Arabidopsis thaliana: one gene and its partners. The protein of the gene in region 1 interacts with the protein of each later gene in a biochemical or structural test. Each region holds a gene or a part of one and is shown in the gene's direction. Other genes may lie near its edges.

Evidence for each region.
Region 2: the proteins of TPR7 (region 1) and Tic22-IV form a complex in vitro, tested with the Arabidopsis thaliana proteins (one study listed by BioGRID).
Region 3: the proteins of TPR7 (region 1) and TOC33 form a complex in vitro, tested with the Arabidopsis thaliana proteins (one study listed by BioGRID).

What each region holds. Positions count from the first base shown.
Region 1 is NC_003076.8:7,271,177-7,277,249, forward strand, and holds TPR7 (Tetratricopeptide repeat (TPR)-like superfamily protein), read left to right. Parts: upstream 1-1,894; 5' UTR 1,895-2,218; coding exon 2,219-2,314; intron 2,315-2,426; coding exon 2,427-2,657; intron 2,658-2,793; coding exon 2,794-2,850; intron 2,851-2,964; coding exon 2,965-3,093; intron 3,094-3,279; coding exon 3,280-3,357; intron 3,358-3,478; coding exon 3,479-3,549; intron 3,550-3,671; coding exon 3,672-3,721; intron 3,722-3,861; coding exon 3,862-4,009; intron 4,010-4,166; coding exon 4,167-4,680; intron 4,681-4,770; coding exon 4,771-4,914; intron 4,915-4,995; coding exon 4,996-5,142; 3' UTR 5,143-5,403; downstream 5,404-6,073. UniProt on the Arabidopsis thaliana protein: Plays a role in protein import into the endoplasmic reticulum (ER). May function as chaperone docking protein during post-translational protein translocation into the ER. Chaperone receptor mediating Hsp70-dependent protein targeting to chloroplasts.
Region 2 is NC_003075.7:16,063,747-16,068,689, reverse strand, and holds Tic22-IV (Tic22-like family protein), read left to right. Parts: upstream 1-1,792; 5' UTR 1,793-1,974; coding exon 1,975-2,340; intron 2,341-2,430; coding exon 2,431-2,493; intron 2,494-2,865; coding exon 2,866-2,940; intron 2,941-3,036; coding exon 3,037-3,087; intron 3,088-3,204; coding exon 3,205-3,264; intron 3,265-3,369; coding exon 3,370-3,432; intron 3,433-3,838; coding exon 3,839-3,874; intron 3,875-3,959; coding exon 3,960-4,052; 3' UTR 4,053-4,253; downstream 4,254-4,943. Other genes in the region: FLDH (NAD(P)-binding Rossmann-fold superfamily protein), read left to right, coding at 1-59, 160-465, 561-701; AT4G33355 (Bifunctional inhibitor/lipid-transfer protein/seed storage 2S albumin superfamily protein), read right to left, coding at 1,122-1,131, 1,244-1,593. UniProt on the Arabidopsis thaliana protein: Involved in protein precursor import into chloroplasts. Imported into the intermembrane space via the Toc translocon. May be involved in the import pathway used by proteins without a cleavable N-terminal pre-sequence.
Region 3 is NC_003070.9:447,733-452,242, reverse strand, and holds TOC33 (translocon at the outer envelope membrane of chloroplasts 33), read left to right. Parts: upstream 1-1,816; 5' UTR 1,817-1,882; intron 1,883-1,984; 5' UTR 1,985-1,996; coding exon 1,997-2,092; intron 2,093-2,196; coding exon 2,197-2,304; intron 2,305-2,404; coding exon 2,405-2,529; intron 2,530-2,753; coding exon 2,754-3,018; intron 3,019-3,119; coding exon 3,120-3,188; intron 3,189-3,269; coding exon 3,270-3,431; intron 3,432-3,509; coding exon 3,510-3,578; 3' UTR 3,579-3,820; downstream 3,821-4,510. Other genes in the region: AT1G02290 (uncharacterized protein), read left to right, coding at 266-1,597. UniProt on the Arabidopsis thaliana protein: GTPase involved in protein precursor import into chloroplasts. Seems to recognize chloroplast-destined precursor proteins and regulate their presentation to the translocation channel through GTP hydrolysis. Binds GTP, GDP, XTP, but not ATP.

The sequences.
Region 1 (6,073 bases):
AAAAAGTTAGGCTAGTAAGCAACCATTCAAATGGTAAATGTTACCAAATTACCAATCAAGTCCACAGAACATACACACAAAAACGAAAGACCGGATTGATGGGTTAATGGAGGAAGGTGGGGGCTGACCGGCTGAGAAGTGATGTGACGGATCCTAATAAGAACAGCAATCGTACACAACTTGCTGCTGTGAAAGAGAGAAAGAGAAGTACCAGTGACAAGTGGCATGCCACGTGGGCCGGCGGTTTAGGACCCAATCAGAGTGAAACTGCCACGTGAGATCCTCTCCACGTCCCGACAACCATCAAAATTCAAAGCCTTCTTCTTTCTGTTTCCTCCATCATGCTCTTTAACTCATTTTTTCCCTAGCATATCAATTTTAAAAAAATAGTTTGCAATTTACGGCAATAAAATGTGGGCAACAAAAACAAAACTGAATATTTACATTCGTTTTCATTGTACAATAGAGGGTACATTCAAAAAATACAACTCACTCATTATCCTAGATTGCTTTGCCATATAATAGTAGAATACGTAAGAATGTGTCTACGATGTATTCTAAAGGATAACAAGGGCTATGTGAATTATAAAATCAAGGCTATATATGTGTATGCATATTTTGGTTCGTGTAAACATGTTAAAAAGTTGCTTTGTTGTAATCTATTTAGAAGCACATGCATGTTGTAATCTAGCTTCGAGAGATGTTGCACAACATGTATCAGAATGCTTTAGCAATATTGCTTTATTAATTATAAGTTGAAGATATTGTTTCCTTCTTGTTTGTTATATGATATAACTTTATTAATCCATTGGTTTCATTGTGACCAAGAAGAAGAGGTTTGCTAGAATTTCCTCGTTCTCGCTGCAATAGTACTTAGTGATTAGTTAATTGATAATCATAAATCATATCAACATTCACTTCTCTCAGACTGCTATCATTTAGTGAATCATAATCTCTGCTAATATTGAAAAATTGGGAGACGAGAGATAGATGAGAGTTGTAGCTAGCTTTAGTCAAAGTGGTCCTCTTCTAATGTGACTATACCACCGTTTCCATTCTTTCAAACATTGAAACATTTATGCTGCGGTGGAGAGAAATAAACATTTCAGAAAAATTAATTGATAGATGTACTCGTCGATGAAACTATATCGAAACAATATTGAAAAAAGTATTACCAAACACAACTTATATGTCACTAAAACTCGTCTTTTTTCTTTGTATGGTCAAAACACTAAAACTCGTTCAACAACTGAAAAGATTGTCGTATTGAAATAAAATTCTTTGCCCGAATAGTTGTACATATGTATTTTTTTGTTAAGATCATTTTGATATTTAAGATACTAAAAATTCTGCAGAAGACATGCATATTTTAAAGTTTAATAAATGGATTACTTTAGAGATTGAGTCTATGAAACTGAATACTAAACATTTTTGGATTCCAACAAATATATTATGGCTCTGAATGGTAATCAAAACCGCACTTAAAACCGCACCGCAACAGTACTGTAACAGTATTAAAATCTCTACATATTCATATGTATCTATATATTTTCGTTACTATTTGAACCGCACCGTACTTCTCCCGCACCGCAAAACGCAATCACCATTCGGAGCTTATATCATGGAGATGTAGCTGGGCAAACATATGATATCGATATCCAGACCCTAAAGAATTTTAAAATATCAAAAAATTATTTGTACCCTCAAACAAATTTAAATTGAATTTTATTGACACTTTAACACGTGTAACAGTTAAATTGGACGACTCTTTCTAAAACGAAATAAAAAAGAGTTTAACAAGAGATTCGTTTCAGTTTAAGAAGAAAAAAAACACGAGATTAGTCTTCCAACATGGACAAGGACATGACAATTTGCACGTAATCATATAGTTACGTTAATCAATACAATTACGTAAATTAATTTATTATGGCACGTCACAGCATCATCGTAGATCAAGGGTAAAACAGTCATTCTCCATCATCCAGGCATATTCCGGTCGGTGAATTGAGGAGGTTGAGCGATAAATTTTCCAATTCGATTCTATATTATTGGAAACTACTTTCGGGTCGGCAAAACAATTCTCCTTCGATTTTCCGATTCTCACAAACTCAATCTCGATCCAGATTCCGAGCTTATCCTTCTCTGGCGAATTTCGATTTTCTGTGTTTCCGATCTGATTACAGAGAACCACATCGAAGCTTCGAGAAAAAAAAACACGATGTTTAACGGGTTAATGGATCCTGAGATGATTCGGCTCGCTCAAGATCAGATGAGTCGTATGACTCCTGCTGATTTCGCTAGGATCCAACAACAGGTTTCGTTATTTTTCCTGATTCGAATTATTCGATCGATTCTGAGGAGAATTTGTTTGATTTGATTTGATTATGGCTTTGTATGATGAATTTATACCATTGTTTATTATACAGATGATGTCAAATCCAGATTTGATGAATATGGCAACAGAGAGTATGAAGAACATGAGGCCTGAAGATTTGAAACAAGCTGCGGAACAGCTTAAGCATACTCGGCCTGAAGATATGGCTGAGATTAGCGAGAAGATGGCTAAAGCTTCCCCTGAAGATATTGCAGCTATGCGTGCTCATGCTGATGCTCAATTTACTTATCAGATCAATGCAGCTCAGATGCTTAAAAAACAGGTAACAATTGACTTCCTGAGAGAAGTTTTCTATTGAATTTTGCTTTCCTGATTATAAAGTAAGGAACAAGAATGGCTTCAGCAAGTGGACCTTTGTGTAATTTGATGTTAATCTCATTTTCTACTACGTTTGGCAGGGAAACGAGCTTCATAGCCGAGGAAATTTCAGCGATGCCGCAGAGAAATACTTGCGTGTAAGTCTGCAGACGTATCTCATTTGTCATGCTACTTGACAAGAAGAGTTTTATTTGTAACCTGATATGCGATTCTTTTCTACTTGTTTACAATGCTCTTGGACCATATCTCAGGCGAAGAACAATCTGAAAGAGATTCCATCTTCTAAAGGTGGAGCAATTTTGTTGGCTTGTTCTCTCAATCTAATGTCGTGTTATTTGAAGACGAATCAGCATGAAGAGTGCATAAAGGAAGGTTCTGAGGTATATTCTTTATGCTCTTAATTTTCTGAAAACTCATAGATGAAAACATTTTTAGGAAAAAGAGAGATGGCAATCTTTTGGCTTCTTTTTTGTAGATGTAACACATGATGTCATACAGCGTTTTATGATCTATTCAAAACTGTTTCGACATTCTTCTGATAAATTTACATTCTTACATTATTTCAGGTTTTGGGATATGATGCAAGGAATGTCAAAGCCCTATACAGAAGGGGTCAAGCTTACAGAGATTTGGGCTTGTTTGAAGTGAGTTCTTCTGTTGCTTATGGAACTTTCTTGAGATTCCTTGTCGATATATATGTTTGTACTGTAGATATGTCCTGACTATATGTTTGCTCAATGCTCATTCACTCTCTTAAACTATAAGGATGCCGTCTCTGATCTAAGCAAGGCCCATGAAGTTTCCCCAGAAGATGAGACAATTGCCGATGTGTTAAGGTATGGATTTTTATATTCATTACTGGTAATGTCATACTTTTCAGTTCTGCTTATCTCAGAGGTTTTGATATTAACATTGAAAAAATAACTTTTGACTTGAAGTATTATCTTTTCTGATGCAGAGATGTTAAGGAAAGATTGGCTGTCGAGGGACCTGGCAAGGCATCAAGAGGTATAATATTATTCCTTATGATTTATTCGAAAGAATTCAGTGTATTATGTCAGACCAGACGTTTCTTTACTACATCAATGATATGCTTCGTCCATGAATATGGAAACGAACTGAAAAATGTTATGTTGTTTGGTTATTAGGTGTGGTGATTGAAGACATAACTGAAGAAAATAATGTTACTTCCGGAGAGAATAAAAAACCGTCAAAAGAGGCTAATGGTCATGCTCAGGGCGTAAAGACTGATGTTGATGGATTGCAAGCTCTCAGAGATAATCCAGAAGCAATCAGGTTCGACACCTTTCCAAACATTAGTGTTTGATGTGTTGTTTCATCTTTTTGTCTCCTAATCTTGAAGACAAATATAATCTAAAGCATCCTTTTTCTGCTACATTTGGCACGATTAGTATGATTTTCTAATTGTTTTTATTCTTTCTATGGCCTGCAGAACTTTCCAGAATTTCATTTCAAAAACTGATCCCGATACACTTGCTGCTCTAAGCGGAGGCAAAGCTGGAGACATGTCACCGGACATGTTCAAAACTGCGTCAAGTATGATAGGCAAAATGTCACCTGAAGAGATTCAAAAAATGGTTCAAACAGCCTCTTCGTTTAAAGGAGATAACCCTTTCGCCCCGACTGCGCCATCTACCGAAAACGGTTTTACACCCACACCTGACATGCTTAAACTTGCATCTGATATGATGGGTAAGATGTCACCAGAAGAGCGTGAGAGGATGTTTAACATGGCATCGTCTTTGAAAGCAAACGCTCCAGCTTCAACATCATACGGCAATGCAGAAGCATCTGAACCACGGGAAAGTTTAGGAGCGAGTGGGAGTTCTTCGGGAAATTCCTTTGTGGCTCCAAGAAGCGGTTTCGAACCAAGCATCCCTTCTGCTCCGCCTGCTGACTTACAGGAACAGATGAGAAACCAAATGAAAGATCCAGCGATGCGACAGGTTTGATCATTTTCGGTTTATGTTTTACCAATTTAGTCAACATAATGTGATTGTTGATGTTCATATAGTAGTTTCTCTGTATATTGGTAGATGTTCACGTCTATGATAAAGAACATGAACCCTGAGATGATGGCTAGCATGAGCGAACAATTTGGAATGAAGCTTTCTCAAGAAGACGCTGCAAAAGCTCAGCAAGCCATGGCTTCTCTTTCTCCCGACGCCTTGGAGAAAATGGTACGAATTCGGTTTAGTAAAACCAAAAGAACATTCAAAGTTGATTGTATAGTTGTCTCAATTGTAAACACGTTGTTGCAGATGCGATGGGCGGATCGGGCTCAAACCGGGATGGAGAAAGCGAAGAAAGCAAAGAAGTGGTTGTTCGGAAAAGGCGGATTGATCTTTGCAATATTAATGCTCGTTTTAGCAATGGTCCTTCACCGTCTCGGCTATATTGGAAACTAGAGGAAACAACGGTATCTTAAGGCTTAATCCTTCGTGAAGATAAAACCAGTCTTCGGTGGGTTCGTTTAGTTTGTAAAACTGTAACATCGTTTTATCTTCTTTTTCTTTCCTCTAACTCTCAGCTTTTTGTTAGTCCACTTGTGTCTAAATTTCTTTACACTTTCTTCTGTAGTGAATTTTAAATTAGAGAAAATACGAATATTTCCTTATATTCGTTATTTTATAAACATAATTATGCTTCTGGTAGAGCGCCTCTACAAGAAAATTGGTTATTTGCGTTGGGAGATTCTTTTAGCAAATAGAAAAGACCATTTCTAATGGTTGTCTCTATTTTTCTTTATAAATATAGAAGGAAAAATAGAGATTTTTATTTTCTATTTTTATATATAGAGAAAAAAAATAAAGATCTCTATAATAGAGGTAAGAATAAAGATGAGTTAGAGTAAAATAGAGGCAAAAATAAAGTTTAAAGACAAAAATAAAGATGAGTTGGAGATGTTCTAAAGAGAAAAGTTCGAGTAAAAAATTTTTTTTTCGCAATCCAACGTTTGCAAATTTTGCGAGGAGAAATTTTGAAATAAGTATATAAAATCATCTTAAACTTTATTAAATTCATAGATATTAAAAAAATAAAAAAACTTCATTAAATTTTAAATTATATTTTTTTTTGTGCACCCAAAATTTAGATAATTTAATTATTTTAATATACGACTGAATACACATTCTTCAAAAGTAAAAAATAAAGAAAAAACTTAGAAGGATGAAGTACAAGAGAAGGAAACACGTGTCTTAATCTGGGGCCCAGCTAAATCAATTCTTCGTTAAAATGTCTTTAATTAAAAAAATAGAAGAAATCGAACGTCGTGAGAGGGAGGGAGGGAGAGAGAGTCAATAGAGACCACGCGCAGAGACAAAAGAGACCAAAAGAAAA
Region 2 (4,943 bases), on another chromosome or scaffold:
ATCCTGGTGTTATTTTTGGTCCAGGCAAGCTCACTTCAGCCAATATGGTTGCTAGAATGGTATGATTCTTCCTTTTGCTGATTAGAGTTGCATTGGTGGGATGATGTAGTGGTACATTGACAGTATGTGGTTGATTATCACATGATGTTGTTCTTCTAGTTGATCGAGCGCTTTAACGGGAGGTTGCCTGGATATATTGGCTCTGGGACGGATAGATACTCCTTCAGCCATGTTGATGATGTTGTGGAGGGTCATGTTGCTGCAATGGAAAAAGGTAGGCTTGGTGAAAGATACTTACTCACTGGGGAAAATGCTTCTTTCAAGCTTGTCTTTGACATGGCTGCACTGATTACTGGAACCAAAAAGCCAAACTTTAGCATTCCATTATGGGCCATCAACGCATACGGATGGTTATCTGTTTTAATCTCTCGGGTTACAGGAAAGCTTCCACTTATCAGTCCTCCGGTGAGTTTCAATTGCATTCATTAGTTGCCCACATATTATAGATTATCTTATTAGGTATAGAATAATCTCAACTCTTAGTATTTTGTGATGAACAGACAGTGACAGTGCTGAGACATCAGTGGTCATACTCTTGTGATAAGGCTAAGCTGGAACTTGGTTATAACCCTCGAAGCCTAAAGGAAGGATTGGAGGAGATGCTCCCTTGGTTGAAGAGTCTGGGCGTCATTCACTACTGAAATTCAAATTTCCCATCTTTCAGGTATTTCGAAGAATAATATTCCCTTGAATTCAGTCACTATGATGAGTGATGACTACATTTTTACTTCTCCCGTTACACTTTTAACCCAATCGATTTTTATCTTGTTACAAAACTGCTTCGTTTTGATCGTGTATGTCAAATAAATGTGAAACATTGTGTGCAAATGCTGATGATCATATTTTAAGATGTTGAGCTACGTGTGAGAGTAGGAAAGAGGGAATATGTAAATGTGGGAAATAATCACATTTTATCTGCCAAGAACTATATGATTACATCTATAACATATATGATCAGAAGATAAATACTAAGTATCCATATAATTTGTTCATGATGGTTTTGATCTTTTAGGATATCCACTTTATTGTAGCTGCATGGCCGTTGGTAGTCAATCTTCTTTTCAGTTTATGCTGTTCAGTGTTCACAAAACAAATTAAATAGGTCAATTAGAGGATTATGTAGTTAGAAGCTCTCACAACTACACATGTTTCGGCAATATTAAAAAGAAACTGCAGTAGCTACCTGTTACAGTCCACAGTCTTAGAGAAAGGGACTCCTATATTAACACCACATTTAGCAGGGAGTTGTTTGGCAAAATCATCATTAATTCCAGGGATTGTATTAGCTACACTCTTCAAGCAATTACAAGCTACTTGTCTATCGGCTTTCTCAGGCGCTGCGGCTTTTAGACTATTAAGTCCGTTGCAGCACATTGGAGACGGATTTCCTCCAGCTTTTAGATAAGGCAAACATTGTGCTAAGTACATGTTTACCTGCGGACATGCTATGGCTTCTCCATGATACGCAATCCCCAATAAAATCGTAATCACAAGTAGTAACATTTTTCGGGTTGTAGTAGTAATGTTCCTCATATTTTTCAGTTAACGAGAGTTTTAACAATTTTGTTTTCTTTAGTGTGTTGTTTGCTTGATCTAGTAAGTATTTTATAAGGAGGAGAAATTTGGAGGAAAAAAATGTCATCGACATGAATTTTGAGTGACAAAAGCTTTTTGTAAGTCATGTCATGTGTTTAGAATGGTGTGGAAGTTGAGTTTAGAAAGTTAATAAATGCTTTGTCACCAAACTTTTGATCAAGGGCCATATTAAACGTAAACTAAAACCAATCAAGTCCAATAAAGCCCAAATAAAAAAGCCCAAACGAATTGCTCTGAAGCCTTTTTCTTCACTCTCTTCATAGTATCAAAAATTGCTTCTTCTTCTTCTACTTCTTTCTTCTCTCTGCAAATCCAAAAATGGAGTCATCAGTGAAACCCAATCCTTTCCTCTCCTTCTCTTCTTTCATTCACCACCAGTGTACCCGCTTCAGCTCCGACCTCTCCGCCCGAATCGAAGACACGAAACGATTCGCCGAAACCCTAGCTACTCGACGTTTCTCTCTTCCTACTCCGCCGCCTTTCGCCTCCGTCTCACAATCCAAGTCTGGAACCCCGACGACGACGTTGAGTCCATCTCTTGTCGCTAAAGCTCTCGCTGGGACGTCGGTGTTTACAGTCAGTAACACCAATAACGAATTCGTTCTTATCTCGGATCCTACCGGAGGCAAGTCTATCGGTTTGCTCTGTTTTCGACAAGAGGATGCTGAAGCTTTTCTTGCTCAGGTTTCGCTTTTTGTTGTATTTTTCTCCTCCGAACTTTTTTAAAAAAATGTGAAGTTTCTGAGCTCATAATTCTCTAATATACTCCTTTAGGCGCGACTTCGGAGAAGAGAATTGAAAACCAATGCGAAGGTTGTTCCCATTACTCTGGACCAGGTAGTTCCCTTTCCTTATGATCACTGCATTAGATCAATGTGGAAGAAGCCATTGGTTAAATCAAATGAAACAAACAAATTTCAGGAGCTCAAATTCTAAGTAGACTTGTTCATGTCTGGCCTCATTTTAGTTGTTTATATTATACGGTAATAGGAACACCTGTTGGCAGTTTGAATGAACGGGAGATTGTGTTCTTGTGCACGTAGCAATGTTGACAACATCGTCACAAGAAAGAATGCAACGATGGCATGATTATAATCCCTCTAATGGCTTGGAACTTATAAGTTATAACTACGTTTAGGGAACTTTTTGATGTTATTTGCGTAATCGTGGTAGCTACATTCCCAGAAGTTAAGATGATGTTGTTTACAGGTGTACTTGCTAAAAGTTGAAGGGATTTCCTTTCGCTTCTTGCCAGATCCAATCCAAATAAAGAATGCGTTAGAGGTTGGCTCATGCTAAACAGACTTTTAATTATATGTGTCTATAGCATTTATTTGGCATTTCAATCTTATCCATAAGCTATATTTTCTTGCGTCTCAGCTCAAATCCTCAGGAAATAAGAATGGGTTTGATGGAGTTCCGGTTTTTCAGGTAAATTGATATACTCATTTTCTGTGTTTTTCTATTATACCAATATGGATTCCTTATGTTTTGGTGTTTTTGCTTTGTTTTCTCTTGATATCTATCTGTTGTTATTGGCCTCTACAGTCTGAGCTTCTTGTTGTGAGGAAAAAAAATAGACGTTACTGCCCTGTATATTTCAGTAAGGTTGGTTAGTTTCTTCTCCCACGTTAAAGAATACTAATAGATCTCTCATAAGCCAAAACAGAGGAAGATAACTCTTACTTTCCTGTTCTGCGTGACCACTTTCAGGAAGATATAGAGAGGGAACTTTCTAAATATACGAGAGCATCAAGAGGAGATCAACAAATTATGGTAATGATTCATACCTACCTTCTATGTATTTGAATCTTCGATAGGCCACGTAAGATAGAAACAAACACCTTGATCTAAAGACATGGTTTACTAACAAGTGGGAGTAGCTAGTAGCTGTGTTGGCATCATATGTAATTTCTAGCATTTTTTGTGATTACATGTTCTGCAAACATATAACACCATGTTTTCAAAGGAACAGCGAGGGAAAGGGAAAAGTCTTAGAAAACTTTAGAAAGAGCGGAATTCAGATTGTACATGCCTTCATATATCTGAGTTAAAATGAATTCCAAGGTTTATCGTTATCAAAGTTGCATATCAGAGATCAATATATAAAGTAATTTCACAGCATTGGTTTTGTTAAGAGTTTTCTTATCTTCACCATGGAACTAATCTTTTTGTTTTGCAGGTTGGGAGTCTGGAAGATGTGTTGAGGAAAATGGAGGTACTCACGCTTCTTCTTTGTTTAAAGAAACCTTAAAGTATGAAAACCTGGTAGTCTAATAAAAATCTGAATTGAATCAATGTAGATGAGCGAGAAGAATTCAGGTTGGGAAGATGTAATATTCATTCCACCGGGAAGAAGTTATGCACAACACATGCAGGATTTGATCAAAGAGTAAAACCATAATAGACACAATGTGTGTATTTTTACTTGATAAAAAAAAAACAGCCTCTTTTGAGATTTTGCAATATTATCAATTGCCCAAAGAGCTCAACACAGTCCCAAAATTTAGTTTTCTCCTCTCCTTTTACCACTTAAACACATCATCAACATGTTACTCGTGGTTCTTACATCCAGAAAAATATATTTGGCATATACGGATACCTAAATCAAATAACATAATCTTGTTTGTTTTAAAAAGTGGAGATGTACGTTATTCATCTGTCATTAGAATGTAGTATCAGCCTAATTATTCAAAGGAGGTTGAGGCCTCTAAAATGATATGTTGGTTTAAGCTAATTATTGATCAAATTTGGTTGATATACGATTATTAAAACTAAGATGTCTTACCAATACTTATTTTCATTTTCTTTTCCTCTCATCATAATCGCTTTGACATCTCAGCTTAATGATAATGTGATTATTTTCATCCTTACTAATTGTTACTGCCTTAAAAAAAACAAGTTGAAGTAAGAAAAAGAAAAGGAGATGAGATTGTTTCAAAAGCATTGATCCTTTCCTGAAGCGTAAGTAAGCGATGTTGACAGCAGAACTAAACTTGTTGCTTGCTTGACTTCCTCCGTCGTCGCATATTGCACCTACTAACATTTTTTCTCTTCTTTATTCTTCCAACCAATTGTAGCCTATGGTCTTTTGTACCAATTTTTCAAAAGTTGTAGTTGGTAGAGGTTTTGTGAACAAATCTGTAACATAATTTATTTTCTAACATAGATTGCATCGTTTTCTGATAAAGATCATCAAATTGTGGAAATATGTAGTTTTTTTTTAGTTTTTTTTTTTTGGGCGGAAATATGTAGTTTATTATCCTACTTTTGATGACATTTTCCTT
Region 3 (4,510 bases), on another chromosome or scaffold:
TTCGTGTTTTATATAGCCTTTAGTGTTGTTGTTGCTGAAATCAGTGAGTAAAATGCTATTTATGTTCGTTTGATTTCTGATTAGTAACATACTCAGCTTCTCGCTGTCCATTGTATTGTAGTAGAATTCTTGTAATGTGAATTGCTGATGATGAGTCTTTAACATTTTCTATCTAGGTATCTCCTGCTTGTGTTCCTTTCTACTGAGTTTGTGGTTGGAGATTTGAAGTACTTGTGTTTTAAGGGTAGTAAGTGGTTAACTACAGATGAATAAGAATCAAACAGTTGGGCTAGACTCTGAAGATGATGACTCTGATGATTACGACATTGCGCAAGTAAACTGTGAGCTAGCTTTGGTTGAAGGTCAGCTCTGTAACATACCATACGAGCTCTACGATCTACCAGATTTAACGGGAATATTGTCTGTTGAGACTTGGAACTCACTTCTGACTGAAGAAGAAAGATTCTTCCTCTCATGTTTTCTGCCAGATATGGATCCACAGACTTTCAGTTTGACGATGCAGGAACTTCTTGATGGTGCCAATTTATATTTTGGGAATCCAGAGGATAAGTTTTACAAGAATTTGCTAGGTGGATTGTTTACTCCAAAGGTAGCTTGTTTCAAAGAAGGTGTTATGTTTGTCAAGAGGAGAAAGTATTACTACTCTTTAAAGTTCTATCATGAAAAGCTGATCAGGACATTTACCGAAATGCAAAGGGTGTGGGTTCAGTATGGAAATAAATTGGGCAATTACTCAAGGCTCCTCATTTGGTCAGGACGAACTCAAACCGGTAATCTCAAGCTACTGGACCTCAATAGAGTTCCATCTAAGGAAATGGATAGTGCTACATGTAGATTCAAAACTCCCAATGTAGTGAAACCCGTGGAAAGAAATAGATCGAAAAGTTTAACCTTCCCTCGCAGTGGCAGCTCCAAGAACAGTCTCAAGATAAAGATAACCAAGGAAGGAGTATTCCGGTATCAAGGTTCCAGCTTAGTTTCTGCTGGCCATCATCATCAGACTTTGCCAAAGGGTGTTCTCAAATTAGTCCCTAAATCTTCTTCTGCCATCCTCAGGAAACCCTATGTAGCTCCAGGAAACAATCTCCTGCAAATCCATGAAACCGGTTCAAAGAGTACTAGATTTGCAGCGTCTCCATACTTAGGTACGACATTTGAGAAACCACCCTACGGAACTCTTGGCTGTTCTATCCCAGACCCTTTCTTAACCTATTTGGAAACTACACAAAGATCAATCCAAGGTACAGAACCGGTGTTTCATGATCCAACACACACTGTTCCCAGTGCTCTCCGTGTTTCAAATTACTCCATCACAGAACAGAATATACCTCTAAAGCAAGAAGAATATGTCCGGTACCACCTGAAGTCTCCTGGTTTTAAGCCTAGGACTGTTGACAGAGGCTCTGAAACAACAGAGAGCAAGAGGATTTCGTCTAGTAATAACTTTCAGAGGGAAGCCAAGGCTCTGAGAAAACCGCTGGGGGTCCTGAGCGAAGACAATCATGCTCGAGAAGCCAATAGTGACCATTTGTTTTCCTTGACTTACAAGCGAAGAAAGGTTCAGAGAATCGCTTGAGCTCCCGTGACGCTATGCTAATTCAATGTTCCACCTAATGTAGTCTTCCATGAAAATATGAAGTGTAATGCTGCAACTTGGTAACTGGATTTGGTTTGGGGTTGAGTTTGTTAGTTTTCAAAATTTGAAGGCACTAAAAAGAAACACTAAAGAAATAGAGGAGTAAAAGTGAAAATAATTTGAACTATTAAACAAATTACCGATAAGGTCACATTCTTTAGCTTTTCTCTGCGGAACACATCGAGAGAGCTTCTTCCAAAAACCTCAAACGCTCCTCACACAACGGTAAGCTCCTCCAAATCTCCCAAAACGTTATCGCTTTCGAAATTAATTATCATCATCGTCATCACTCAGCGATTATTTACCAAAAGAATTTTTTTGCTGAAGGGTTTAGGAGTGATGGGGTCTCTCGTTCGTGAATGGGTTGGGTTTCAGCAATTTCCAGCAGCTACCCAGGAAAAGCTGATTGAATTCTTCGGAAAATTGAAGCAAAAGGTGTGTTTTGTTGTTGTTGTTCCTGTTTCTTTGGTGCTTAAGTCGGTTTCTCGGATTCTCCGTTGTGATTAGGAGATAATGATGGGAGGTTTTTGTAATTGCAGGATATGAACTCAATGACAGTTCTTGTTCTGGGTAAAGGCGGTGTCGGAAAATCATCCACTGTCAATTCTCTTATCGGCGAACAAGTCGTCCGTGTCAGTCCTTTCCAAGTACGTAATTCAGTTTCCCTAAGCTTGATTTTTTTAATTTGGATTAAGAAAGAGTAGTCATTTCAAGATATTTGATGGCTCTGTTTTGTTGATTTTGTAGGCTGAAGGATTGAGACCAGTGATGGTTTCAAGAACAATGGGAGGGTTCACTATCAACATTATTGACACCCCTGGACTTGTGGAAGCTGGATATGTCAATCACCAAGCTCTCGAGTTAATCAAAGGGTCAGTAGCTACTCTTTTGGAATATCTCTTCGTTGATTGTTGCATATAGGATTATCTCATTCGTTTTTGAATTAATTAAGCTAAGTATATATGTGGTTAACATGTTTACTTGTGGGTTTCTGTTGAAATTGTGAATTATGAGTATCTGGTTTACGCTGAAGCTGTATATTGGAGTGTGTGTGGAAGTTTTACGATAGTTGTTGTGTTTCTCGGATTTTGGACAGGTTTCTTGTGAACAGAACAATAGATGTCTTGCTCTATGTTGATCGTTTGGATGTGTATAGAGTCGATGAGCTAGATAAGCAAGTTGTTATAGCAATCACCCAAACCTTTGGAAAAGAGATATGGTGCAAAACCTTGCTTGTTCTGACTCATGCTCAATTTTCCCCTCCCGATGAACTTTCCTACGAAACTTTTTCCTCCAAGAGATCAGATTCTCTCCTCAAAACTATCCGGGCTGGTTCTAAGATGCGAAAACAAGAGTTTGAGGTATGGTTATTTATACATATACCTGTCTCCGAAAATTGTTATACCAATGTATGTTTGGTTCATTGTAGCAAGAATCAGTTTCATTCTTTACTGGCTTGTAGGATTCTGCAATCGCGGTAGTCTATGCAGAGAACAGCGGAAGATGCAGCAAGAACGATAAGGACGAAAAGGTTTGTGTTTTCGAATCTCTGATTTGATCCGACTTGGAGAGAGACTGACTGTTAAAAGTTGCTTACCTGCTCTCGGTTCAGGCTCTTCCAAATGGTGAAGCGTGGATCCCGAACTTGGTTAAGGCGATAACTGATGTAGCAACAAACCAGAGGAAAGCAATTCATGTAGACAAGAAGATGGTAGATGGATCTTACTCTGATGATAAAGGAAAGAAACTCATCCCTCTTATCATAGGCGCTCAGGTAAGAAAGAGACACAGTTTGATTTATTGTCTTGTTCGAATTTGGTAAACAAGTGAAATCCTTTCTTCTACTTTGCAGTATTTGATCGTTAAGATGATTCAAGGAGCAATCAGAAATGATATCAAGACAAGTGGAAAGCCACTTTAAGAGGCTCTGAAGAAGAGGTTTTGTTGTGAGCAAATTACAAGGAGAAGAAGAGTTTTTCGATTGTTCTTTCTTTTGTTAGATTTTATCTGCAACATTTTCTTGTTTCCGGCTTTATCTTTGTCTGTAATTTATGGAGATTTGTTCAAAGAAAAGATTGCCATGCTTTCTGGTTAAATGAAATGGATGTTTCCCAATCATAATATCACCAAAAAAAGAATATATTATGTTCTGTAGATAAGAAAAACAAATGATCTGCTAAAGTCTGTTTTGAATCAAACAAGTCTTTTAGCTGATGGGATTAATTGTTTGCATCCTCGGGTGATTACATAAACACAGATCAACAGAAAACTCGGCATAACCAAGGCCGCTTCTATCTCCCACAGGAAGACTAGCATTGGTAGCCTGATGTCAATGTCTGTTAGATCATCAATCACTGCTGCTTCTGTTCCATTATAAACAGTTTATTGAGAATTGGTTCGGAATCATCATCATATCCATCTCTTATTTCCTAATACTAATAGACATGAGTGTTTGTTTGTAACAGAGGTTTAAGAAATAGATCGTCCCGGTCCCACATAATCTAACAAACTTACCGTTTAGATTAGATAATCACCATCAGATCTCACAGTTGCAATATGATGAAAATAGACGGTCCAGATTTCTCGAACGTTCTCAAATAAGAAAAAGGAAACAACTGTTGAAGATAAAAGGAAAGTAGGAAACAATCGAAATTTGGATATGGTAATAGTCATTTTGACATGTGCAATCTTTTTAATATGTTGTAGTACCTGAAAGAAGCTGGATGGGCTCAAGGAGACCGAGTTTTTGCTTGTACCAGCCAAGACCTTTAGCTGTCCCGATTTGTTTTTGGATCATATCACAAGCTGCTGCATGAGGTATTGCTTTCTTCATTTACTTTTTTTTTTAGTAAT